7 linked regions of the Danio rerio genome follow. The protein of the gene in region 1 interacts with the protein of each later gene in a biochemical or structural test. Links are inferred from orthologs where the notes say so. Each region holds a gene or a part of one and is shown in the gene's direction. Other genes may lie near its edges. The genes, in order: si:ch211-202a12.4, atxn3, usp19, rnf114, parp10, rnf168 and rnf166.

Evidence for each region.
Region 2: the proteins of si:ch211-202a12.4 (region 1) and atxn3 form a complex in vitro, tested with the Homo sapiens proteins (20 studies listed by BioGRID and IntAct, with this or other methods). The link is inferred for Danio rerio from reciprocal best matches to the Homo sapiens genes UBC and ATXN3.
Region 3: the proteins of si:ch211-202a12.4 (region 1) and usp19 form a complex in vitro, tested with the Homo sapiens proteins (4 studies listed by BioGRID, with this or other methods). The link is inferred for Danio rerio from reciprocal best matches to the Homo sapiens genes UBC and USP19.
Region 4: the proteins of si:ch211-202a12.4 (region 1) and rnf114 form a complex in vitro, tested with the Homo sapiens proteins (6 studies listed by BioGRID, with this or other methods). The link is inferred for Danio rerio from reciprocal best matches to the Homo sapiens genes UBC and RNF114.
Region 5: the proteins of si:ch211-202a12.4 (region 1) and parp10 form a complex in vitro, tested with the Homo sapiens proteins (3 studies listed by BioGRID). The link is inferred for Danio rerio from reciprocal best matches to the Homo sapiens genes UBC and PARP10.
Region 6: the proteins of si:ch211-202a12.4 (region 1) and rnf168 form a complex in vitro, tested with the Homo sapiens proteins (8 studies listed by BioGRID, with this or other methods). The link is inferred for Danio rerio from reciprocal best matches to the Homo sapiens genes UBC and RNF168.
Region 7: the proteins of si:ch211-202a12.4 (region 1) and rnf166 form a complex in vitro, tested with the Homo sapiens proteins (3 studies listed by BioGRID, with this or other methods). The link is inferred for Danio rerio from reciprocal best matches to the Homo sapiens genes UBC and RNF166.

Annotation. Positions count from the first base shown.
Region 1 is NC_133180.1:42,862,283-42,866,399, forward strand, and holds the start of si:ch211-202a12.4 (polyubiquitin-C), read left to right. Parts: upstream 1-1,317; 5' UTR 1,318-1,383; intron 1,384-4,046; coding exon 4,047-4,117.
Region 2 is NC_133192.1:59,465,416-59,469,561, forward strand, and holds the start of atxn3 (ataxin-3), read left to right. Parts: upstream 1-1,346; 5' UTR 1,347-1,364; coding exon of another isoform or gene 1,365-1,388; 5' UTR 1,389-1,698; coding exon 1,699-1,731; intron 1,732-2,125; coding exon 2,126-2,290; intron 2,291-2,379; coding exon 2,380-2,424; intron 2,425-3,446; coding exon 3,447-3,532; intron 3,533-3,627; coding exon 3,628-3,694; intron 3,695-3,790; coding exon 3,791-3,878; intron 3,879-3,976; coding exon 3,977-4,097; intron 4,098-4,146. Other genes in the region: gamma-aminobutyric acid receptor subunit rho-1, read right to left, coding at 1-93. UniProt on the Homo sapiens protein: Deubiquitinating enzyme involved in protein homeostasis maintenance, transcription, cytoskeleton regulation, myogenesis and degradation of misfolded chaperone substrates.
Region 3 is NC_133198.1:23,061,067-23,064,566, reverse strand, and holds part of usp19 (ubiquitin carboxyl-terminal hydrolase 19), read left to right. Parts: intron 1-90; coding exon 91-231; intron 232-333; coding exon 334-452; intron 453-547; coding exon 548-691; intron 692-1,266; coding exon 1,267-1,586; intron 1,587-1,665; coding exon 1,666-1,779; intron 1,780-3,029; coding exon 3,030-3,246; intron 3,247-3,327; coding exon 3,328-3,480; intron 3,481-3,500. UniProt on the Homo sapiens protein: Deubiquitinating enzyme that regulates the degradation of various proteins by removing ubiquitin moieties, thereby preventing their proteasomal degradation. Stabilizes RNF123, which promotes CDKN1B degradation and contributes to cell proliferation.
Region 4 is NC_133198.1:3,522,264-3,526,417, reverse strand, and holds the start of rnf114 (E3 ubiquitin-protein ligase RNF114), read left to right. Parts: upstream 1-1,354; 5' UTR 1,355-1,863; coding exon 1,864-1,982; intron 1,983-3,982; coding exon 3,983-4,133; intron 4,134-4,154. UniProt on the Homo sapiens protein: E3 ubiquitin-protein ligase that promotes the ubiquitination of various substrates. In turn, participates in the regulation of many biological processes including cell cycle, apoptosis, osteoclastogenesis as well as innate or adaptive immunity.
Region 5 is NC_133194.1:13,059,300-13,062,799, reverse strand, and holds the end of parp10 (protein mono-ADP-ribosyltransferase PARP10), read left to right. Parts: intron 1-2,855; coding exon 2,856-3,154; 3' UTR 3,155-3,493; downstream 3,494-3,500. UniProt on the Homo sapiens protein: ADP-ribosyltransferase that mediates mono-ADP-ribosylation of glutamate and aspartate residues on target proteins. In contrast to PARP1 and PARP2, it is not able to mediate poly-ADP-ribosylation.
Region 6 is NC_133190.1:4,302,428-4,305,927, reverse strand, and holds part of rnf168 (E3 ubiquitin-protein ligase rnf168), read left to right. Parts: intron 1-1,483; coding exon 1,484-1,654; intron 1,655-1,856; coding exon 1,857-1,948; intron 1,949-2,055; coding exon 2,056-2,131; intron 2,132-3,500. UniProt on the Homo sapiens protein: E3 ubiquitin-protein ligase required for accumulation of repair proteins to sites of DNA damage. Acts with UBE2N/UBC13 to amplify the RNF8-dependent histone ubiquitination.
Region 7 is NC_133182.1:56,248,410-56,252,521, reverse strand, and holds the start of rnf166 (E3 ubiquitin-protein ligase RNF166), read left to right. Parts: upstream 1-1,312; 5' UTR 1,313-1,469; coding exon 1,470-1,639; intron 1,640-4,112. UniProt on the Homo sapiens protein: E3 ubiquitin-protein ligase that promotes the ubiquitination of different substrates. In turn, participates in different biological processes including interferon production or autophagy.

The DNA of each region.
Region 1 (4,117 bases):
AGATACATTGCTCTCTGAAGGGCACTTCGTAGTGATAAAATTATGGCCGCCATATTGAAGTGTCATTCAAACTGAAGTGATCAAAAGCCCCCCTAGGAATAAATGAGTTTGAAAAATAAAACCGATGAACATTTTGGGAAATTATCCTTTGAGCAGGGAAGCTGCTTGGTGTCAATTATCATTTAATTATACTTTGGTGGGAAATTATCTTTTGAGCAGGAAAGCTGTGTGGTTTTCCACACTACACTCAATTCGAAAGGACTCATCCCTATGCGCTAATCTCTTTAGAGGAACCCTCTGAAGGGATTAGGGCATAGGAATGAGCCCTTCAGATTGGAATCCATCATGTATTTTTTTTTGTTGGTGGTTGAGAAAGTGCATTTCTGCCACCTATAGGACTGGAGTATGAAACTTGGTTGGGGGCTTAAAAAACTGTAACCACTTTTAAACCTAATTTTCCAGTCCGGAGACATTCAACAATCCAGATGACACCTTAATGATCTCTTTAATGTGGTAATTCTAATGTGTGATTAACACTTTACTCAGATTTCTTTCAGTTATTTTTCAGAATAATTCTATTTATTCTCTCTTGAATTATGTAATTTGTTATTAAGCATTTTTATGACAGTAACTTGTTTAATTTTTTACACAAACTTTTTTGCGCTGTATGACCAATGTATAATCTTGCAATTATCACATTTTTATTGTTTGCTCTGTTTTCCACGCAAATGTATCCTTATAAATGTTTTTTTTTTTGTTCTCCCATTCTTCTGCCTGCTCACTTTACTCAGCTGTACCCTGAAGTTAATATCAGGGTTCATTATTACCATACACAATCAGTTTCTTTTAAGCAACCAAAACATCCACTGGAACCCACGCAACTAACTATAATTCATATTTTATAATGCTGTATAATCTCTGGTCCTGTAATACGATGTATCTTTCCAGACTGTTCTATTTTTGTTTATACAGTATGTCAGTTCTTCTCTTTGCCTGGTCTTGTCTGAATCACCAATAGCAAAGCGAACAAACACTAAACCAGCCAATCACTGCCTGCAGGTTGTCCTACAAGTCCAGCCCATTCCAGCACATTGTGGAAACTTCCTTTATGGGTAATTTATGATTAAATTATACGTTTCAAATATTGATACATAACTTGTATTTATTTTTAAAAAATCAAATAATTCCATAGTTTTAACATTTATTTTAATTTTTCAAACGAAAAAAAGGTTTTGACTACTAAAAGACCCGCTCACGTGACATGAGAACGTCACGCTGTTGGGTTTGTATAAAAACAGTTTCACTCGCTTCATCGGCTGATTTTTCTGCGAAGAAGAGAAGAACTTATTCACTTTCAGAAGCAGTTTCAGCGATATTTATAAGGTAAGAAAGCTATTCCAGTTCGATTTAGAACCTTCATAAAGACCTTTAGGTATACTATTATTGATATTTCGTCATTCCTGTTTATTGTATTGATTTTGGCGCTCATATCCTCGACATCCTAACTAAATGTAAAGAAGTAATTTTACAGTCCTTAATGCTTTGACTAGAGTAATACTCATACGATGTTATTTTCCCAAATTGATACGTTTGCTTTTTAATTGTTAAATTGTTCAATGTCGCAGTTTGTCAGATTAAATTATGCTGAGTCATGGCGCTGTATGAACAAAGAACCCGGATATTACTGTACAGCGGCCATGTTTGTTGTTGCGCATTACCGTTTTTAAATGATGACATTGTGCAATTTTTTAATTATGTAACTTATTGTTTTATGTAATTTAGGAGGTAATGTTAACATAAATAACTATTTCGATATAGTGTATGAATGAAATTACAAGTTCATAACTCAACTTTTATTATATTTCTAAAAAACAAACATTTTTAATATGTAGGACCAGACGGAATCTGCGGGCGTTTTTTGCTATTTTTGCGTAGAATTTTGCTAAAAATCTGCGGATTTCTGCGGAATTATTTTGGGAGTATCATAACTAAAACCTTAATATATGAATTTAAAAATAATATCTTTTAAACTTTCATTTAATGTTTAAAATGCAAATCCAATTAGATTCACTTTATTTGGTAAACAAAGCAAGTCTAATATAATGTATCTACTAAAAGACAAAGAATCACTGTACAAACTGCATCGTATATAAATCAGATGAACATTTTCATACAAGTCAATAATATTACTGTTATTAAAAAGTAAATAAATATAGATTTACCCACATTTACTCTAGTAAATAAATAGAATTAATCATGGACTTAAATTTGCGGAATTTTGAGTGCACAGATATAGATAGATAGATAGATAGATAGATAGATAGATAGATAGATAGATATAACCCCCGTTTCAATTTTAACTATTTTCTGTAAAGCTGATTCTGGGTTAATGTAGAGTAGCTTTTACAAGGCATGCATGTCCACGTAATGATTTCTATTACCTAGGAGACACCCTTAAGTTATTGTCTCAGGTAAGAGGAAATCACCCCTACAGGGTTGTGCTCTATAGAAAAACTTAAGCTTGAAGCATCTGGATTGATATTGGCATAAAATAAAGATTTTAATAATTTGCTAATATGCTAATAATAATTTGTCACAATGTGACAATGTCCTTGTTCAAACTGTTAGGGTAACTAACATTTACTCTATTCTTCCAGTTAAACAGGCACTTTCATGTAATTTGATAAATTAACATGTTGTAAATCCAGCATCCCTCCACTAACATGGTGGCACCCATGATCATTATTAATCTGTGAAATGGAAATGGATGCGTTTGTATCATAATATTCATTTATCAGAATATGATATTTTCTAATATATTTAGGATGTTAACCAATGTTTGCATAAAATGACAAAATAAGTGAGAAAATTATATACATAAATCTTCAGGGCTGCAATGTCACATGATAAACTTGATGCATCGTCATGGAAGTCTCAAAGTGAGAAGTTTTAAATTATCGTCAGATTAATAAAACATTTAGTGGGGGTCAGAGAAAGATTTAGAACTTGTGTTTGTGAAAGGATGAGCTAAAATCATTCTGTATTGTAATAGATGTGCTAACACATTAGCCCTGCCCTGAATTAAGCCTATGCTCTCAGATTGACAGATACTATATGTGGTAGGAGGGTTGCACGGTTTACCGGTACTATGGTAGCATCACGATACTGTGGCTTCAAAATACTGGCAGTGCCACTGTAGTTTGTAAACGGTAGTATCTTCATTACCGGTCTATCTATATTATGTAGTGTTGCTTGTGAAAGTGATTAATGCTCACACATATGTGCATCAATAGACCATTTTATTTGAATAGTCTGTGGAGCCCCTTAAGGTTGCATGTTTTTTAACATTTCAAACGCACACCTGAAGCGGTTCATTCTGTTTCTGGCAATGTGATTTAATAGCTACAGCAACCGCAGCAATCTCTTAAAAACAACTTAATGTCTTAAAAAAATATTTTTAATTACTTTGGATTGTTCCCTGATAAGGCTGAAAAAATAAAAAAATAAATGGAAAAACCCAAAATAGTAATATTTGAACAACTTTTGACCACTTATATTTTTCATCACTTTCATAATTTTTTTTTTAAAAATGCTCTTTTCGTAACAAATTCCATTTTGTTTATTTGTATCTTTATTCTAATGTATTTTTTGTTGATCAGTTATCTACAAAATAAACAAAGTATAAATAAATTTTAGGTGAAATAGTGTGCAAATAATACTTATTTCTTTAATTGAAATTAAATTCATTTAATCATCATTCATTTAATGAAACTCAAGTAGACCTATTATAACATATAAAATATAGTATTTATGACAATTTTCCTTATAATTTGAGTTATGAATTACAGTATGGCATTACTATATGGTATCGTGATACTTCAGCTGGTATAGTATTATAACGTGAATTAATGGTATCGCGACAACTCTAACATGTGGTGTTCCAAAAAGATTTCTTTTTGAAGATTTAAGGTAAAATCTTAGATCAGTCGTATAAATCTGTACAAATTTTAGTCATTGCTAATCTTCTTTTGATAATTTGTTTACAGATGCAGATCTTTGTCAAGACCCTTACTGGTAAGACCATCACCCTTGAGGTCGAGCCAAGTGACACCATTGA
Region 2 (4,146 bases), on another chromosome or scaffold:
CCATGCGCCGCCCCGAACCAATTCTCCTAATGATGGTGTGTTTGGCATTTGCATTTGCATGGCCAGGTCAGTCGTGTGGAGGATCAACTTCATGACTGTATGCTCTGCAGAAACTGCTTTACTTACTCAGAGTTTCTGTCTTGTGTTTGGTCCAAATATCTTTCAATTCTTTAAGAAAGAAGCATTCTCTAGACCAGCACAGCATATTAAAATCACCAGTCCAGCGCACCTGAAATATAAGTGAAAAAGCCTCTATTGAGATGACTATTGCTGTAAAACAGCAGGATTGTGCAGCGCACTTGTGAAAGTCAGTATTTCAATGGTAATAAAGGCTTTTAAACTTTTATCCTCCTCCTCGAATGCCTTGGAGGTCTGATCTTTTAGAAATCTTTAGATATTTGGACCAGAAACAAGATTAAAAACTCTAAGAAGATCATTTTTGCAGTGTAGAAATGAACTGAAATGGTTCTGAAGTGTTGTGTTGGATCAAGACATCGAGAGCCCCTCTCTCTGTGGACATAAACTGTCCTCTGTGTGGTTCGGATCAATGCAGTGTCCAGAACCCCTTCAGACGCTCCAGATTTCTGCTTCTGGATGACTGATTGACTGATTGACTACACGTGTTGAGCGCTGTGGCAGATGTCTGACAGACTCCACTGCTGCAGGATCTGTTTTATTTTAAGATGTTTCTCTCTGCCTCACGGGTCTGCATGTGTTTCCAGGCTCAGGCTCCATCTTTAAACACTCCCTCATTCACATTAACACGCGTGTGTTGGGGTTCACAGTAGCCGTTTTCAAGCTTCCTATAATGTGTTGAGCAGAGAAACTGGCGTGAATGCAGCTGAGCAGATGACACACACACATCACTGAGCAGATGACACACACACACATCACTGAGATGTCTGTTTGATGTTTGTGCTTACACAAATCTACTAGACATCAGTAAAAAGTCATTTGTGTCTTGAAGTGAATATTTTCAAAGTTCTCAAAAGTGTGAATACTTTAAAAAACATTAAATAATCGAATTACCTCATTTAAAACAAATAAGTTCTGCGTTTAATCAGGATCTGTCCACATGAGGTGTAGCGCAGCGCGCCACTGGGCGGCGTTCCTGATGTTTTGATTCGTCACGTGACAAGCAGAACGGTTAGAAAGTAACATCAGTAAATGTCCTGCTAAATTATTTATATCGACTAAACGTGTAATTCAATTGATAGTGTATCGGAGATCTTAATCTGTCGATTTTAAACGCAGCCTTGCCGCAGTTTTTATTCAAAGAGCGCTTGTTTTTAGGTGACTCTTATTCTGACATGTTTTGACGCGTCGCTGTTTCCGTCAGTTCCGTCATTCACACACTTTCAAACATGGAGTCTATATTCCACGAAAAAGTAAGAATCGCTTTCAGATAATGCTGTGTATGAGTGATGTGTAGATGATCTGGGAGAGCTTCTCCTGCAGGAGGGCAGATCTGTCGAGTTCAGTCTGCTGCTCCGGCTTGATATCTCTGAGGCGCTCGTGGACTTTTATCGAGTGTCAACATCCGACACGGGCAGACAGACAGTCCAGCACATGTGTGTTTACCGCCAGAGCGGCTCCTCTTCACTGCTGCACTCCGCCACACAGCGCTGTAGAGGAGGACACTGAGCCTGTAGACTGAGGGAGTGCTGGAGAGTGTGTCTGAGCTGAAGGAAACACGACATGAGCAGAGTTTACACGACGAGGATGATATGTGTGTGTGTGGTGTGTGTGTGTGTGTGTGTGTGTGTGGTGTGTGTGTGTGTGTGTGTGTGTGTGTGTGTGTGTGTGTGTGTGTGTTGTGAAAGAGTTTGTGAGTGAGTGAAACAAAGAAAGAAATGTAGAGTCTGAGTGAGAGTGTGTGTGTAAGAGAGCAAGAAAGTGTGTGTTTATGTTTGTTGACAAAGAGTGTGTAGTGTATGTGTGAAACAGATTTTGTGTGTGTGTGTGTGTGTGTGTTACAGTAGGAGTACTCTGTGCAGCATGATGATGATGATGATGATGATCATGGTGTGTGTGTGTGTTACAGCAGGAGGATGATGATGATGATGATGATGATGATGTTGATGTTGTTGTGTGTTTACTGTGTGTATGTGTGTGTGTGTTACAGCAGGAGGGCTCTCTGTGCGCGCAGCACTGCCTGAATAACCTGCTGCAGGGCGAGTACTTCAGCCCGGTGGAGCTCTCCTCTATAGCACAGCAGCTGGACGAGGAGGAGCGCATGCGCATGGCGGAGGGAGGAGTGCAGACGGAGGAGTACCGCACATTCCTGCAGGTACACACTCACACACACACACACACACACACACACTCACACACAGAGCTCAGGGTCTCAGTGTAACCTGCTGTGTTCTGTGTGTGCAGCAGCCGTCAGGGAACATGGACGACAGCGGCTTCTTCTCCATCCAGGTCAGTCATAGTTACCCGTTACTCCTCACAAACACTACAACAACAAATCAGACAAAGCTGCTGGGACAGACGGAAAACACGAACCCTCTGCTGTCATTCAGACTGCAGAAACAGGGCGGTGATCAGGTGATCTGCTGGATGATGATGTGATGTCCACAGGTGATGGTGATGGTGATCTGCTCATCAGGAAAGCTCTAGTGCTTTAGGAGCAGAGATGAGTCGAGGATCTCCAGTTTGAGCACAGATATGAGAGAATATGAGTGAAGTGTGTGAACACAATGATCCTCAGAGGAAGACATGTGGAGATTTCACCTTCAGCAGTGCAGAACAGCATTAAAGACTGAAGGAGTCTGGAGGAAGCCCTATGTTAACAGTGTCCAGCAGCGCTTCTCTAGGCTCTGGGCGTCTGGGATGGAGCATCACACAGTGGAGACGTGTCCTGTGCTCAGATGAAGCAGAGTTTCAGGTGTTTCTGGGAGAAATGGACGCCGTGTGCTCCAGACCACAGAAGAAGAGGATCATCCAGACTGACACCAGCAGCAGGCCGGCTCTGTCATGGTCTGGGGTTGTGTCGGTGCTCTGGGCAGAGGTGACCTGCTCTTCTGTGATGCTCCAGTAATGCTGAACAGCACAGAGAGATTCTGGACCCGCATTACAGAGTCCTGCTGCGGAGGAAGAGGAGACAGACACTGGACTGGCCTGCCTGCAGCCCCGACCTGTCTCCAATAGAGAATGTGTGGCATGAAGAGCCCGTACTGTTGCCCACATTAAGACTGGTTTGTCTTTAGTGCATAAACAGCTTACCAGTGTGGTGAAGAGGAACAGCAGCAGCAGCAGCAGCACACACTGCTGAACGCTTCACTGACACGGCTCACTCTGACATGTGCTGCAGAAACCAACACTGGAATACGTGGAAAACAAACGATGATGATGATGATGATGAACACATGAATTAAATGTTTATAGAGACCTGTGTGTGTTTGTGTGTGTGTGTGTGTGTGTGTGTGTGTGTGTGTGTGCAGGTGATCAGCAATGCTCTGGGTGTGTGGGGTCTGGAGATCGTCCTCTTCAACAGCAGAGAGTACCAGCAGCTGCAGATGGACCCCATGTGAGTGTGTGAGCGCTGTATCCTCTATGTGTGTGTGTGTGTGTGTGTGTGTGTGTCTCCTCTGCACACACTCATCCTCCTCTGCTGTCTTTCAGGCATGAGAAGGCCTTCATCTGCAACTATAAGGAGCACTGGTTCACCGTGCGCAAGCTGGGACAGCAGGTGTGTGTGTGTGTGTGTGTGTGTGTGTTCAGGGTCAGAAAGGTGTGTGTTTGTTGACTCTTTCTTTCTCTCTCTGTGTGTTTGTGTGTGTGTCAGTGGTTTAACCTGAACTCTCTGCTGACGGGTCCGGAGCTGATCTCAGACACATACCTGGCCCTGTTCCTCGCACAGCTGCAGCAGGAGGGTAACACTCATTATCGTGTGTGTGTGTGTGTGTGTGTGTGTGTGTGTGTGTGTGTGTGTGTGTGTGTCCGCTTCAGCGCTGCTCTTGTCCTCCTGCAGGTTACTCTATATTTGTGATTCGGGGGAATCTGCCGGAGTGTGAAGCGGATCAGATCCTGCGCATCATGAGGGTGGAGCAGCAGCAGCGGCCCAAGCTGATCGGAGAGGAGGAGACGCAGAGGTACACACACACACACACACACACACACACACACACACACACACACACA
Region 3 (3,500 bases), on another chromosome or scaffold:
CTTTAGCAGACATATTTACAGTGCTTTAGTTGTGTGTCATTGAAAAGTTCTATACACTCTAATTTATGTTTTGTTGTTTTTTCCCCTCAGGTTGTGAAGGGCAGGTTCCACAGAATCTTTTTACCGTCTCAATCTTTAGACACGGTCTCGTCCAGTGACCTGCTCTTCTGCTTTGAGATGCTGTCAAAAGATCTCATCAAAGAGAGAGTGGTGTTGCTGAAGGTCCAGCAGGTACGCCATTTACACCGCTCTTACTTTCTTCCCTTAACTATTGCCGATTTTTGTTAGCATTTGCCTGTTTTCTTGCTATAATCATGTGTTTTTTATCTTCAGAGACCTCAGATTCCTAGCATACCAATCACAAAGTGCGCTGGTTGTCTGAAGCCTCCTGCCTCTGACGATGAGAAGCTGAAGCGCTGCACACGCTGTTATCGTGTCGGCTACTGCAATCAGTGAGTTGTGTGTTGTTCTGGCTTTGACATCACACATAAGATTTAGAGATTTTGCCTTTGGTGTAGTTGGTAGTAAGAATTTTTTCTGATTACAGGACCTGCCAGAAGAACCACTGGCCTTCTCACAAGACTATGTGTCGGTCTAATGTGGAAAACATTGGACAGCCATTTTTAATCAGCGTGCCTGAGTCTAGACTTTCTTACACTCGCCTCACACAGCTTCTAGAAGGCTACTCTAGGTATAATTACAGCTATATTCAGATTTGTTTACCTATCTGTGTAATTCAGTCAGGATTAGATGAAGATATAATTAAAACACTGATAAAATTTTAGTATTTATTTATTTATTGCTTTATCTGTCAGTCTATTTGTATATCATTTATTTATTTTTTAAATAAATAGATTGTAAGGTTTTATGTACATTTTATACATTGTATGCATTTTTGTGCCAATTTTGTGTAGGTTTTTTATTTAGAAAGCATATATTTTTATTATTATCGTATCATAATAATTTTATTAAGTATTTTTATAACATCTTTGTTTTAATAGTGTTATAAGCTGCTTTTTATTTATTTAATAACAATTTTAATCAGTTTTATATTATATATACTCATTCATGTAGGATTGTCCTATAGAAGTATGTATTTAACTTTTTTACTGTAATTTTGTAGAATATGATGTAATTTTACTTTTTTTTTGTAGTCTTGAATATTTTGTGTGGATTAATTTTAGGTCTTTAACCTATGGTGACCTAAAAAATCATTTAAAAGCTATGAAGTAGTAGCCCTGTTTGAGTCTTGAGTTCTGTGTGCAGGTACTCTGTCAATGTGTTCCAGCCACCTTTCCAGTCAGGTCGGACGTCCCCTGAGTCCAGTCTGTCCCGTGTTGACCTGACTTCCATGGCGAGCAGCGTCCCAGAGTGTCAAGAGAAGGACCTGCCATCAGCGGGTGACGCAGAAAACCCAGCAGAGCAGGATGAATCTGTCACAGCCTCACAAACGGAGAGTGCAGCAGATGGAGGAGACACTCTCTCCACACATACCACTGACTCTGGTTGCTGTGAGCTCGCCTCCAGCTCCCATGATTCTCTGCTGGAGAAAGAAACGTCATGTGAAAAGGCTGTTAAACCAGAAGGTAAGTTGGTCTAAGGCTCTTCACTCAGGTCTTTGTTGTTGTGTGGTGTTATAGTTCATCATTGTTTGTTCATTGGCAGCTGTAGTAACTGGGTATCAACAGCCTTCTGAGTCGGCGAGTGGAGGTGCATCTCAATTTTACATCACTATTCTGGACTCGAGCCAAAAGGAAGACAAAAAACTTGAAGAGAAAGGTCAGTCAGAGGTTTTGTTTTGTAAAATGTTTGGGGTTAGTGCCTGAACTGATACTATATGGAAAAATATATATTTAAAGGGCACCTATGATACCAAATAAAATTTTGGAAGCTGTTTAGACAGAACTGTGTGTAAAAAGTCTCTTTTTTTAATTAATTTTTTTATTTCCTGACGTTAAAATAGGATTTAGTTCTTAGTGATTTTTGAGGACCTCCACTATGGGATGCAGGAGTATGTTTTTTTTCCACCTACCAAACTAATTGACAGGAGTGTATTAACATGTCTATGTAGTAGCACATACAAACATGTCCACAGGACAGGATTTTCAAAAAAATCTGGGATTAAAAGATCTGTTCAACTCTCTATGATCAGCTGCACCCCAAGAATGAATTTTAAACAGTTTTAAAACCGTTAATGTAAAAAGTAATGTTTAATACAAAAACGCACAGTTTTAGTACAACTATATTCAAGGATATAAACAAGGTTATACGAGGATACAAACACACAACAGGAGTCCTGGTTTGTGGATGTTACATCCTTTTTGTACAGTAGCATAATGGATGTCCACATTTGCTGCAAGTAGACGTGCAAAAACAGTGCACATTAAACGTGTGTATTTGTGTGTACGTGTGTTTGTAACGGCATTTATGTAACTCATCGTTGCTAAAATGCTTGAATAAACTCCCTAACAAAAACATTAAATAAGCTTATTTCACTGACTGCTGTTTATCTGATGTGACGCACGCATGTGGGATGAGTGGGTGGGGAGATCCTGCTTATTTGCATTTAAAGGAACAGTCAACAAAAAACGACTACAATGTCCTCTAACCTCAAAATTCTGAAGCAAAAAGCAGATTTTACTCTCTACAAGCAGGTTGAACTTCTCAATAGCTATAAAATAATGTTTCCAGGGTTATTTCCCCTAAATAAAGCAGTGCTGCACTTTCAAACAGAACTTTAATATGTATCATTCAGGGATGAGAAGAAAAGAAAATACCACATTAGCTCTTCTGAAGGAAGTCATTTTCTTGAGGAATTTGTTCATAAAAACTGCTATGCCAGTTGTATTGTGATTTGTTTGGCATTTATTGTCATTTGAACCACCACATATTTTAAACTATTTTTAAGTTTTAGGCATCAAATTCAACCATTTCTGCTCCAAAGTCTGTGTTCTGATTCTGCCTTATTGGCTCTGGGTTTCAGTACCAAACCTTATTGTGTGTTTTCACCATCTTTTTGTCTCCTGCAGGTGACGCGGTACTGGAGCTGCCTGATGAGTGCACACTAGAGCTGGTGTGGAAGAACAACGAGCGGCAGAAGGAATATGTGCTGGTGCGCTCTAAAGATCTGGAGTTCGATGAGGACCCAGGCTCTGCTACCGAGACCTCTAGGGCAGGACACTTCACCTTAGAGCAGTGCCTCAACCTCTTTACCAAACCTGAGGTCCTAGCCCCTGAGGAGGCATGGTATGAACACGCACTCAGAGTGCCCATAGAAAGTGTTCAAATAGAACTGTATGTGTGATCATATTTTTTTTTTTTATTCAGGTACTGTCCTAAGTGTCAGCAGCACAGAGAGGCCTCTAAACAGCTCCTACTTTGGCGTCTTCCGAATGTACTCATCATCCAGCTCAAGCGCTTCTCATTTAGGAGTTTCATATGGAGGGACAAGATTAATGACATGGTCGATTTTCCAGTCAGGTATACTGAAAGTTACTCAA
Region 4 (4,154 bases), on another chromosome or scaffold:
CAGATAAATACAGACTTAACTAAAACATAAAAGAAAATAAATTAACTAAAAATCTATTTAAATATTCAAGAATGAATAAAAACACGTAACCTCAATATAAAAACTTTTACAATATCAGCAGCTATAGGTAAGACATTATTTACAATAGACAGCAAGTTTTCTATTCAATTAGCTTCAACTCCTTTGCAACTATCATCGTATTTTGACATTTCTTGCTATCAATACACTGTAGCGAGTATATTTAAAAATTAAAATCTATAATGAATACCTTTAAGATTTAGTATTATTCCTTCTACGGATATGAAATTTACCAAATAAAATCAAAATATTCATTATAAATTCCACAGATAGTTTGTTTCAGTCAAAATAAATTAGCACATGATGTTAAATTCCATCTAAAACCCGATACATACAGAGATAAGTCATCCCAAAACTTCTTTTAATGCTGACATTCAAAAGACTCTGAATGATCTAAACAGAATGAACAATTTTCATCAATTTGCATGAATTTAGATAATGTATTAATACTAACATAAATGTTCAAATCAATCATTCTAAAAAATATCCTCTAGGCTTTAAGGCTCTGTTTAAAAAAATACCTTTGATTGTACATGCTTTACTAAAAAAAATCTAAATAGTGTACACAGGATCAGTTCTATGAATTCTATTTTAAATGTGAATTGTTCCATTGTTTATGAATGTCTGGATTTTTATATTTCTACCAACAAATTTTTTGAGAATAATATTAAATAATACACAACATGTGAAATAATAATTTTTTAAGTAAAAATTGCAACATATAACTAAGAATTGCATTTTTAAGATTATTCTCAATTGTGAAATTGTATGTTAAATGCTAATATTTTGATCTACGTTTCTAACAAGACAAATGCAAGAATTGCGAGGTCAGATGTTGTTTTTAGATTTTACAGGCATTTATTTACTATTCTGGGATAAAAAAAAAGCTATGTAAAAGTTAATTAAGATTTGCGAGATATATAACTGTCACATATAAGTATATTTTATTTTCTATTTGAATGTTTATTTATTTTAATGAATCGAAGTATACTTTTTAGATTACTTTTCTAAAACGTCGCCCGTATTCAAGTTTCACTCCTAAAAATGTTCTACTTTCATTAATTCTGGTAATAAATGAAAGCAATTATTCTAATTTGCTTTGGAAAGACTTCCCCCTTTGTGTAATGTAATTATATATATATATATATATATATATATATATATATATATATATATATATATATATATATATATATATATTAAATATAAATATATATGTAATTAAATATATAGTTTAGGGTAGGCTTAGAAACTTTTTTGACATTTGTAAATCATATACTATTTTCTTTTAATTTATGATGATGTAAATATCCTTATGCATTTCTTTTAAAACATTTTTATTTAAAGTTTTCATTTTTTTTTTCTTTATACTGTGACTAGATTTTGCATTGCCCATCAATAATAAAAAAAGTAACGTCAAAAAAACTTCTACGTTCTTATTTTACAGTCTGATTCAACCTCCAATCGAGTCATTTTCACATTCATTCATTCGGTCGGTCATTTAAAAGAGCCGGTTCAAATGACTCGTTTATGCATCGGAGAGCACTAGCGAGATCTCGCTTATAACTACGCACGTAAAAGACAACACAGCCACAACAGATGTAGCCTACTATATGTTGCATTTATTTGTTAGCAAACGGCTATTTTTATTTGTCGTACGTCTAATAAGAGCTGTAATGTTGTTTCTCGTTCATGTGCATCAGGAGATCAGCTGAGTTGTTGCTCCTCCCCTCACAAAAGTGAATCTCACTGGAGTTCAAGAACACGGAACACAGCGCAGCAGAAATGGCCATGCTCAAAATAGACCCGCAAACCGACGTAAACGATGCTGAAGACGACGACTTCGTGTGTCCCGTGTGTTTGGAGATATTCGTCCGGCCCATGACCACGCAGTGCGGACATACGTGAGTATTCTGGAGAGCTCATGTCTGCTAGCAGCAACTTCTCGGTTGACATGTTGAGTAGTTTAATGTTAATCCCCTCATCACCTCAAAGCGATTCACAACCTTCGTGACCTCCGCCTTAATCTTAATGTGATTGTGTTGGACACTGTTCAGTAAGTGCTGTTGTTGTGCGATTTTTTTTATAAGACAGAAACTGGTTACTTTCAGTTTTGCTTCTTGTGTACAAAACTTTGCAGTGTGGGATTGTGGGAGTTGTAGTGTACACGTAATTAGAACCGGAAAACAACACCCAGCGCCTGTCTTGTCAGATCAGATGTGGCCTTTCAATTACAAGCATTCCTGGCAAACATCAGTTAAAAGTGCAAAATAATAGCATTTACAGAGTATTTGTATTTGGTTAAGGTGCTGTAGGCAGTGTAGGGAAGGCGGTTTTTAAAATGTATTTCACTTTAGATTAATAACGTGTATTTTTAAAAAAGTTAAGTTACTCAATCTGTTTGGAATATTAATTATTAATAGAGCAGTAAAGAAAAGTGGAATCCACAAAACATTAGACATTTTTAATTCATTTTTATTTATATATCAGTTACTCAAAAAGGCAATATAATGATTTTTAATGAACAATTGAGGTAAATTGTACTTATTTAGTATTAGTATTAGCTGCTGAAGCACAGTGATAATTGAAAATGTATACTTTAGTTTGTGTAAAAGTTTACACCCCCTGCTCTTAATGTGAATGTGCTGAGTGTCAGGAAACATTTTCACTTTCGGTAAATGTTTTGCTTGAGTTCGTCAGTAAACATGGGCATCACAATCACACAGTCACTGTTGTAGGGCTGTAAAAATATAAAGAAGACGCAGTAAACTGAAGAATTTGCAGGAGCTGAAGGCCTTTTCTAAACTACAGCAGCTGGTTGAACTCTTCAGGACAATCAAATGACTCATTAAAAACCATCACAAACATTCATACAGTTGATTCAGGGGTGTGTAAACATTTCAACAGGATAGATTTAGTCAGTTATTATTTTGTCTTATATGTAAATATCTAGCTCATGTGGAGTAGTACCAGTGGTGTAGCGGACGGGCCAGCAGGGCACGCTCCGCGGGGGGGCCCCGCGTGATTAAGGGCCCCGCCTTGTTGCGATTTTTAATAATTGAAAATCCGGCAACCACAATAATCAAACCCCTGGGAACAACTGTGGTCGGAACCAAAGTTCCCAGGTCTGTGTTCTCTCAACTCCTCTCAAACGGTGGACTACTTCATTCTGATTGCTTGCCGCCGAACCACATCATAGCATATTACCATAAAGTTGACTTGATTTCAAGTCCTCCTCGATGCCCACACCGGAGAAGACTCGACGCGCTGCTCCTCGCCACCGGTTCTCATTGAAATTGAAGGACTTCCGGCTACTTTGACGCTCTCGCTGCTTGTTTGTGAAGGCTACCCCGCGTCGTCGCTCCACCCCGCCCCCCTTTCCCGCTCCTTAGTTTGTGATGGCTCCTCAGTTTGTGAAGGCTTCCCCGCGTTGTCTTTCCACCCCGCCCCCCTTTCCCGCTCCTCAATTTATGATCGCTTCCTCGCGTCGTTGCTCCACGACTCTCCGTGTCCCCTCAGTTTGTGATTTCCCCCCCATCAGTGGGCCCCATTAGTGATCCCTGCAGGGGGGCCCCCACATTTTGCGCTATGCCACTGAGTAGTACTCAAAACTAGCATTCACTATGATCCATCCTATTTTGTTGAAATTATTAAAATTATTGTATTCTGCAAGGCAGGGTGTGTAAATAGTACTCATAGTACTCTTCGTTATAGTAGTAGTACTAGTCATCGTCATCGTTATGGTAGTAGTAGTAGTGGTGGTGGTGGTGAATGATGCATAAGCTGGGGACACTTCAGCAATGTCCAGTTCATATATTCTGATGAGTGATTTTTTTTGTTTAATTATTTTTTGTTTTCAACTGAAAGCACTCAATTGCAGTGTTTTTCTCTCTCTTCCGCTCAGGTTCTGTAACGACTGCCTTCAGGAGTGTCTGCGGCCCCAAAGCCCAGTGTGTGCCGTCTGCAGGACTGATCTGCGCAAGTGGGCTAAAGATGACCATTTACAAGACCTTATGAAGAGATCAATCGGAAAGTGCAAAGGCTGTAAAAATGAGGTCAGTCAAGTTTACATGGAC
Region 5 (3,500 bases), on another chromosome or scaffold:
AATTTAAAATTGTTAATGAAGTCCATATTGGTAATACTGCCTTTCATGGTCAATGACTGTACTACAGAAACTAGAGGTGCTTTCACACCTAGACCTTTGTTTTGGAACCTGTCTCGTTTCCCCAGTTAGCGCGGTTCATTTGGCATATGTGAATCCAGCAATCATGCTTGGATCCCTGCCAAAACAGTCAGTCCGAGATCGCCTGGATGAGGTGGTCTCGACTCGATTGAAACAAACTCTGGAGCGGATCGATTGTAGTGAGAAAGCGATACGATCCTAGCTAGAATAGGATATGTAATACGGCTATATGAAGAGAGATTTATGAGTTGGGGGGGAGGTATTCCTACCGGTAAATGTGGATTTCATGTTAAATACGAAAGTGAAAGCATGCTAACTATTAATGAGAGCTGTTTATGCAATAGGAAAATTGACCGAACAGCAGTCTTGATTTATCTGTTATTTCTCTTTATAATGTAAAGCCTATAATGCATAAGCCAACTGCTTTGTGTGAGAAAGTCTTACCTCAGATTTATACTTGGTGACAATGTCTGTGGGTGTCATCATTCAAGTTGAAAGCGCAGCTTTTCATTTATAGTGTCTTATTGTTCATCGTCTTACATTAAAACAAGGACGCATGACAGCTGAGCGGGACTCTAATAAAAAAAAAAGTGAAACTCTTACCAATGTGAGGAGAGTTTACTCACACGTGACTTGTTTTAGCTCTTTTGATCCATTTAGAAACTTTTCCATGTAAAAGCGAACCGCACCAAGAACAAAGAGCAACACTGTAACAATTTTAATCCCTGTTTTGGAACAAATACATCAATCCACAGGTGTGAAATCACCCTAAATGTTTACTGTTGTCTTGATTCCAGCAATCACTCCTATAGCCATTAAATATGACCTAGTTAATTTTCACCAACCGTACACAGTGTATGAACATTAAAGGATAAAGTTTATTTTTAAAAAGATTAAAAAGCAAAACTAAACCCAAGTTTGTTACTTGAATTGAAATAAAAATTACGTACAATTAACATGTATGCATTAAACCTTTTCTCAGATAGTTGCTATGGAAATTTCTCATTTGCATTTTGTTTAACTTAATGTACTAAAGTAACTAAAATAAAAGTTCATTTAAAAATCAACAAATAGCAAAAATAACTAATAGAAATGACTACACAAACTAACAAAGTATTTAACAAGCTCCTATTTAGGGTTTTTGATAATGACCTACTATGAAGTGGTCATTATCGCGCACACTCTAAACCAGGGGTCACTAATCTCGGTCAAGGAGAGCCGGTGTCCATGCAGGGTTTAGCTCTAACTTGCCTCAACACACCTGCCTGGGTTTTTCAAGTATACCTAGTAAGACCTTGATTAGCTTGTTCAGGTGAATTTTGATTAGGGTTGGAGCTCAAATCTGCAGAACAACGGCCTGCCAGGAACAAGTTTGGTGACCCCTGCTCTAAACATTACTTCATAACAGTTGTTGAAAAAGAATAAATGATGGGATAGAAGATATAGAACCCAGTCCAGGAGACTCGAAACAAGCAGAAGAATTCCTTTATTGAGACGTGTTGGTTAATCTGCAGTTATACAGCGTCTTCACGTAGTCCATGTGTCTGCAGAGCCTACTAGAGGTCCGCAATCTGCAAGTTCTATCACAAGTCTGATTTGAGACAAGGCTGTTCTGTCTATATTGTGTTCTTAGGAGGAAGGGAGATGGCTAAACTAAGCATGCAAATAAAGTATTGAAGTCGGCATGAAATTGGCAAAAGAACTGGCCCAGCTACTGACCTCACAAGTTAATCAACACAAGGGTTTCTGTAGCATAAAAGCAACACCCGAAAAACCTGCCCATAGCATTTGCATCACTTTGGCTTAGCCCAGGGGTGGGCAAACTCGGTCCTGGAGGGCCGGTGTCCTGCACAGTTTAGCTCCTATTCTAATCACACACACCTGCTTATAGATTTCTAGAGATCTTGAAGACTCTGATTAGCATGTTCAGGTGTGTTTGATTAGTGTTGCAGCTAAACTATGCAGGACACCGGCCCTCCAGGACCGAGTTTGCCCACCCCTGGCTTAGCCTGTAGCCACAAAGCCAAAGGTTAAATGTCCCTCCTAGCTGGGATACTAATGAAATGATATAATTAAAAACCAAAGAATATAACTTTTCAGTTATATGTAAATTATTGTTAATTGGAAATTAGATTATATACATTTATATTCCCACACCGGGAAGTAACAGAACACAGTCCTTTTACAACAGACTATATCATCAGACCAATCAGTCAATTAGCATTGTGCTAAGGAAGGGTCTGGAAACGAATCGCCGAACAAATCATATGGGAGTGGTTAGTATAATTAGGTAAAAATAAATGCATATTGGTGGTTCATTCCACTGTGGTGACCCCTGATTAATAAAGGGATTGAGCTGAAAACAAAATGAATGAATGAATAAATCCATATTATGAGGCAATGAGAGTGTTTTTTGACCTTGTATGCAAATCAGTCTGTTATTAGAGACCCTAAAACTAAAATATGACATGTAATAGGGGCTCTTTAAATCTTTAACTAACATTGAAGCGAAAACAGATTTTAAAAAATATGTTTTCCATCACTGTCCACTATTTTTCTCTAAACTGTGCTTTTGTAGTTCACACAGAGGCAATAAAATTTTCATATCTCTATTAACAACTAACACTTTAAAACACATATTTAACAAACTGTTTTCTGTTTTTGTTGTTGTTGAAAGTGTGTAAATGCCCCAAACATGTTTTTTAAACAAAATGTAATAAAATGAATTAATTCAACTAATTATTTTTTAATATTCGATTTTTTTTCTTCTCTTCCAGCCACTGTATACGGTCAGGGTGTGTATTTTGCGGTCAACGCCTCTCTGTCTGTGTCAGACACCTACTCTCCACCTAATGCAGATGGGCACAAGTTTATTTTTGTAGCCAAAGTGCTCACCGGTGAGTTCACTGTAGGAAAACACGAGATGAAGGCAGCTCCGCTCAAGGAGAATTCAGCCGTACCGTTCAGATACCACAGCGTGACGGATCAGATCAACTCCCCGACTTTATTCGTCATCTTTAATGACACACAGGCTTATCCGAAATACCTTATTACATGCAAGAAGATCTACGGTTAATCACATGCTTTCAGATCCTAATGCTGGCATGCATTTACAGCAACTGCCAATCATGTACAGTTATTAAACTGATTAGAGCTACTTTAATTTACAGCTTTACTGTATTATTATTTGAAACAAAGGTTTGTCTGTTTGTGTTTTATTTAATTTTATTATTTGATTGTTATGTTTGGAAATGACATTTTCATATTTAGCCGTTCTTCTTTAATCATACTATTTTTGTTACAAATTAATTAAATCATAAAAGACACTGTTCGCCTTAATGCTGTCAGATACACATCATTTTTTGAATAATCATTTTTTGGCTGTCAAATAATAAAGTGAAACAGCAACAACAAAGCTGGAA
Region 6 (3,500 bases), on another chromosome or scaffold:
AGGAGCACCCACCAAAAATGAATGAGCACCGCTGCAAATTGTTTTTTAAGGGATTTATTGTATTTTAAAACAACATTAATAGGACTGACAAAAACTAGAAACAACTATCTAACTAATGCTGTGAAGACATTGATATTTGTGTGCAATAATTCCAAAATGAATGTCTAATAATTAGGCCATAGAATATTAATGATGATAAAAAATGACAATAATAGTAAAAATGAATTTCATTTCTCATTATGGTGCTGCCTTGAATGTGCATGAATGTAGGTTATCTGCTATAAAAAGTCTGTTACTTTATGAAAAATAATTGTATAGATTGCATCAAACAAATGAAGCATTGCAGTAAGAAATATTTATTTTGTACTGCTGTTTTTATATGCATGTCAATTTAATAAATAATATTTCTGCTACAAAACAAACAAAATATTATAATAAATCATTCAATTCAATGATGAAAGCTGCAAAGCAGTCATCAGTAAATAAATAAAAAAATAATATACACCTCAAAAAAGAATAGACAAAAGAAAATAAGTAAAGTCTCACTTCTATCACTCTTTAAAAGTTTTGGTTTCAGTTTGTGTCAATTTAAAGGTTCAGTCTAAGGTGATCTTCATTTTTCTGTGTTTGTGGAAAAGCTGGCGAGTCAGCCGACCCAATTTATGAGCAGGTTGAGCAGGATTCTTGCGCTAACCATCGGCGCAATACCGGTCTTTGTTATGAGCCGCAGTTTCAGTGTTACCTTAGTAAAGGCGAGCTTCTTTGGCGATGATATGTACAGTATTAGATTTGACTTTTAGCGGACATTTGCGCTGAACACGCAGTGAATGCAACGCATGGAGATTCAGGCACCTTCTCCAAGAAGCGCGTACTCGATTGATCTCAGCTGGCGGATCATTATTCACCACGTGACGTGTCATGATCGCTTTTATCTGCGCCTCAACTTTAGGTGGGGTTTGCAAACCTGTGTGCTTTAAGTTTTCACTCTTCAGCCGTTTGCATTTCCCGTGGTCATAAAAGCTCCTTCCCTGTCATCTGACAGCGGAATACCGTGAGTGAATGACAGCTAATATGAACCAATATAGCGGCAGGGAAGAGCGATTCAGCACGTTTTTACAAAAAATCAAAACAGGTCGCACTACAACCATTATCTGCAGTCGCACTAATGCTCCCAGATATATTATGAGGTCGCATAGATAAATTTTCGGGCGCATATGCGACCAAAATGGTCGCAATTTCGAGCCCTGCCACTATCACATTTGGTTGCTAGCTAGGTTTAAAATAAAACCTACCTGACCTCAAAAAATAGTAGTGAGTAATGTCCATCCTCAAAGTTTTATTTATGTATATATTTTAATTTTTACAATTTATAATATGACCCCTTCAGATTTTTTTTCTTTAATGTACAATGCAATGTCTTGTGCACCAGCGCATATGAAGTCAAAATTCATCTAATCACCTGATTTCCTGTTTTTTTGTGCAGCTTGTGGAGGAGAAGCGAGCCCTGGAGGAGGCTGAAAGGAGAGCCAGCGAGGAGTACATCCAGCGGCTTCTGGCAGAGGAAGAGGAGCGCTTGGAGGAAGAGAGGAGACGCAAAGAAGAGCTGCAGCTGGAGAACGATGAGAAACTGGCCAGACTGCTCAGCCTAGAACTGGTGAGATTACAAGAGCCGAGACACGTTCACTGACACACTCCTCTCTGCTCAAACATGTAAAAAAAAAATCATAATGGACATTAAACAGACATTAATAAATGACCGTTTTATACTGCATGGTTTAGTTCATTTGCTCTGTGACCCTCATTGAAACGGTTTGAATTTGGAGCTATTTAATATCTATTTTATGTTGTTTGAGCAGAATTCAGGACCAGCCTCTGAATCAACATGCAACATCAAACCTGCCGAAGCTACGCCAGCTAAGAAGAAACCAAGTGTGGGGGATATTGAGAAGTGAGTAGCTGCTGTGGAGCCCAAGTACATCAGTGTCATCCTGGTTTTTGTTGTTAAATGTGATGAAAGAGCTGTTATGAAAAGCACTGCATTCTCTTACATGCCAGGTTTTTGCGTCCAGTGCCTCATAAACAGCCAAGCAGTTCTGACAGCAGCCCAGACTCCTCCCTGATGGCTAATAAGGTAATTTATGCATGAATGAAATGAAATTATTACTATTGTAATTAACAGAAATCTTTCTTAGATATGATATAAAGCAAACTGATAACATTTGAAGAGCATAGTTTCATTTTAGAAATCTGAAATACATAATTGTAAAGAAAAAGTATTTAAATTAATCTTTTTTTTTTTTTTGCAGTCTAAATTTACCCTTCCAAAAATTAAAGCAATAAAGCCTCTATTTCATGACGTTATCGCATTAGATGCAGTAAAAATGTCTGAGAAAATTAGAAAATTAACAAAATAAAGTGAGTTGACGCCTAAACTCGCATGATTTAGATCAGTGTGTCTGAAAACAAGACTACATATTAGTGCTGCAACAACAAATCGATTAAATCCATAAAAATCGATTACTAAAAGCGTTGGCAATAAATTTCATTATCGATTCGTCGTGTCACGCGACATGGAGACGTTTGATTAAAAAAAAAAAAAATAATGAAAACTTTAGCTCAGCGCGAAGCGGAGTGCACACACGGCTTCTCTCTGTCTCTCGCGCACTGATACAGAGTTCAGCGCCACGTTATTGACCTTATTCTCCGCCTATGAGCGGGTGCTGCCATTTGAATCTTTTTGGCTCGAGACTTCCGGTCTCATTCACTTCCATTCATTTTTAGACATTAAAAACTGCTCATTATGCTGCTTGATGTTGCAATTTGATATTTTCTTATTATATTCTTCTACTTGGTTTGTATAGTCATGCAAACATTTGTTTGTAGAGCAAGTAGTTTGACCGTTTTCTGCCGTTTATTATTCCTAGTCATTTCTCCCATAGGTGACTGAATCGGAAGTTCTAAGACAATCGCGAAAACAGGCGCACTTCCGCATTTTAGAATAAGGTCAATAGATCACGATCACTTACACGTTTATGTGAATTGGAATATTGGGTAGTTGATGACATGATGAGCAAGTGTGTAAATATGTTGAATTAAAAAAACTAAAAACTAATAAAAAAATTAAATAAAAGGGATACATCTGTCATACATGGCTGTACGTCGCCATGGAAACATTAAGGGTAAATGTTCTAAAAAAACTGACTCCCGGGCCAGAGAGAATCTTTTAAACTCAGCAGTGAAAGAGTTAATAACAGCAGTAAAGCAGCGGTGGTAGAGTTACTTTGCATTTCAAGACCAAAGACACATTTTTATTCACTTCGCCATTTTTTTCCGTCTGTAGTCATGTATAGCTGCACTGCAGAAAAGTTTTTTTAGTCATTTTGTCTCGTTTCCAGTTTAAATATCTAAAAAATCTTCCATCAAGAACAGACAAGAAAAAGGGCATGAGAAAATGAAGTGATACTGATAACTTTTGTTTGAGATTATATCTTATTAAGATA
Region 7 (4,112 bases), on another chromosome or scaffold:
CATTTTGACCTTAATTTAAGCAAAAGAATAAGTATGTTATGCATAACAAAACTATTAAAGCTGTAAGTTCAACTGGGCTGAGGACAAGGACCATTACAGGGTTTGTACATTTGTAAAATGTTTTTAATAAAGAAAAACAATATGAGAATAAAATGAATGACATGTTTCTTTACAAACCTACTCACAGAAATCATCTATCAGTCCTTTATAAAATAGTTTGGTACGAAATACTTTTTATTCACTGTATTTATGTTTTAATTTCAGGGACAGATAATGCACATTTGCGGTAGAAAATCCCACTGATAAAATTTTACGATGTCACATCGGCACTTCAAAAAAAAATCACCACTATATTGTCCAAATCATATCTTAAACCTGTCAAAGAGCAGTTGTTTAAACTTACCCCGACACAGGGATCTTCTCCTGGTTACATTCCAGACCATTATAATCCTCTTCAACTTGACACATGACGGCTTCCAATTCACAAACTAATTGAAAACAAAACAACACGACGTAAATTCAGTTCGTTTAATGATAAGTCGATTCAGGAAATCATTATTATACAGAATCGTTAAAACAGCACATACTTCACGTGTGAGTTGAATTATGTTTTCCTGACTCCTTTTGATGACGCAATGTAACGTTAGCCACGCCCACACGCTTGCGTCGCTTGTTATTAGCCCAGTGTCTGGCATTAATACTTTAGTTGATGAATACTGTTTCATTCAGGTGTTATTACGGGTTATATATACATTTTGTCATGCAACAAAGGGCCAAAAGAAGACCCGTGCTATATAACTGAGAAATAGCCAACATGCTGGGCTGTTTCGGCTTTCTCGTTTTGTTGTTGTCACCCTACCGCCCTCTTTTCCTAAAAGTTTATTTCTACAAATTATACATTTTCTGTATTGATACGAAACTGTTCATCCCTCGCATCACTTTTTAAAGATTTTATATTTTTTGTTTATGTTATTGCATTTATGCATCGTCTCGTATCGCAAAAAGTATTTATCATTAAAATAAATAAAAACAAATATATAAACGTTAGATTTATTTCTTAATATATAAAAATGTGTATATATTTTTTTATTAAAAGCTTTGGACCTTATTTGTTACATTTTCTAAATTCACTTTGACGCCATCTATCTATGCTCTATGTAATTCTTATAAATGCAATGTTTGGGAAATGTAGTCCGTTTAAACAGTAGCTAAACGAAAATGATCCCTGTTAAAACTACAACTCCCACAATTTTTCTCGCCTAATCCGATCGAGACCGTTCCGTTAAAGCTACCATGTAATGTTTACTTCTTTGGAACAACGGCGTGTCCTCCTTGGTTAACACTGTTGGAGATTGCAGATGCGGAATCTAATGTCGAATAAATCACCTTTTCCCGGCGAGACATTCGTTAAAACCACGGAAATCTATTTGTATCGGCGGTATTAGTGGTTCGTCCTGCGGTTCGTGTGCATGATGGCGATGTTCCGCAGTTTTGTGTCCGCTGCTCAGCTCAGGCAGCATCAGCAGCAAAATGGAGCCGCAGCAGCCGCACCTGGGGAAAGCCTGGAAAGCCAGTTCTCCTGTCCCATCTGTCTGGAGGTCTACCACAAACCTGTCAGCATCGCAAGCTGCGCCCATACGTGAGTATCGTGGCCTTTTGCACATTTCCATCCAGTGTCTTCGTTGATTTACAGGCAAAACATCAATTCTGGAGTGGTCACTTTGGCATTGCCATGTATGTATACGTATGCATATATGTATGTCTGTGTTTACCTTTTACAGTACGTGCATTTAATGTCAAAATATTTAACAATATAACCCGTTTTACCGACCCTATTGTTATAGCTCGTGCATTGCAGTGCACACAAATCACATAACGTTACGCCTCCAATTTGACTTTAATTGTTGTTATTAAATATGACTTGGACATTAATGTCACTCTTCAAAGACGAAATACTGTTCGCATCCCTTTGTGCTTGCACGACTCCAACATCATGTTTCTTTGTCAGCTTTGGGACGTGAAAAGGATGCTCGACATTGCCATTATTTTAATGTGTTTATGGTTTTCATGAGCTTGCAAATTTCTAAACCGTCTAGATTATAAACGCATAGCATCTGTAACAGTTGAGGTAATTAGACTCACTTCCCATCCCTGTGATGCGCAGCAGAGAACAAAGCAAAGCTGTGAGCGATATTTCATACGGATGGTGGCTTTTTACTTCATTTAAAACCGTCCGACTCCTACATAAGATTTGTCTGAACCGAGTAATTATCGACTGATAATTAACTGATGTGTACTAAATGCATGTGAGTTTATCCGAGAACACGGGATTTCTACATTTAACAAAACAAAAGTAGTTCATCTTGGGTTGATATAGAGATGCGTTTTTTTATTTGTGTGGTAACATAATAAGGAGACTGAACAAAGCGCTGGTGTTTTAAAGAAACAGAAATAATCATGCCAAGGAATCAACCTGACATAAATAGCCCACCCCCACCTTTCCTCAAACTTGAGTTGTGAAATGAATCCCTGAATAGTTTCCTTAAATGATTCATTTAAACATTTAGTGAAAGTGAATGCTGTCATTTACCTCATTTTGACAGACGTCAAAAAGCAATGTAAAGTTAGCCTACATAATTCTGTATCTAATACTACATTGCTGTTGGTTTTTAATTATTATATGATTAGTTGATGATGTGTGCAATTGTGTAAAATTGTTTTACATTTTTGTTGCGAGTTAATGTGTGCAATTGTTTTACAGTTGGCTAAAGTAGTTTTAGAGTTCCAGAGGTCTTGACTGAATTACAGTTTTCATATCACGTTTGCATGTATCTAGGCTGCACGATATTGGAAAAATTAACATTACAATATTTTTTTCGGGTGAAGCAGTGGCGCAGTAGGTAGTGCTGTCGCCTCACAGCAAGAAGGTCACTGGGTTGCTGGTTCGAGCCTCGGCTCAGTTGGTGTTTCTGTGTGGAGTTTGTATGTTCTCCCTGCGTTCGCATGGGTTTCCTCCAGGTGCTCCGGTTTCCCACACAGTCCAAAGACGAGGTGAAGGTGAATAGGGTAGGCTAAGTTGTCCGTAGTGTATGAGTGGGTGTGGATGTTTCCCAAGATGGGTTGTGGCTGGACGGGCATCCGCTGCGTATAAAAACTTGCTTTATAAGTTGGCAGTTCATTCCGCTGTGGCGACCTTGGATTAATAAAGGGACTTAGCCGACAAGAAAATGAATGAATGAATGAATATTTTTTTTCCCACAATATATATATATATATTGCGATATAAATAAAATTTCATCAGATGACTCAAATCGCTTGATTCGCTAAGTCAAAACTTTGTTTGGGATGATTTTATAGGGAAGTGAAAAAAAATTATGTAATATATAATATAAATATAATAAACCAACTATAGTCATAAATAAACACAATGAAGCACATATTAAAGTAAAATAAATCATGCTTTACGTGCTAAATGTAATTATCTATCTAGTAATTAATTGCTGAAGCTAACTTATTGATTTATTGTATACATGTTCACAAAGTAAATAAATGTTTTAAATTATTTAAATTGCAAAATGATGATGAATACAAATTCATTTTGTTAGTTATTAACTTCATTTAATAAAATTATTACAACTTTTGGATTTTAACATTTTATTTGCCATTAGCTAAGAAGTTAACATCATCTAAGATTAGTAAATGCTTTTGTAGTTGTCATTACATTGACTTTGGTTAATTTAACTGCGGCTAACAAATAGATTCATAATGTATAACGTTAATGAACAAAAGGCCTATAAGTTATCACAGGAGTTTCAATGTTGTAGCCTAGATTATTTTTTCTAGAATTTGTTGCTGTGCAGAACAACCCCTGAAAAAACAACAATATGGATTTTCCTAAAAGGAACTCTAAAAGTTTATATATTTAATAATCATTCACAGTATTTTGAAGTGAACACGATATCAGTATTGTGGATGTTCATTATTATGATATGTTGAAATATAAGTCTAATGTCTGTATAGGTTTATAACAAAATATGACATTATGGTTAAAAATATATATATATATTTATAGTTTATTATTTGTTTTATTTCGGCTAGAATAAAGCAGTTTT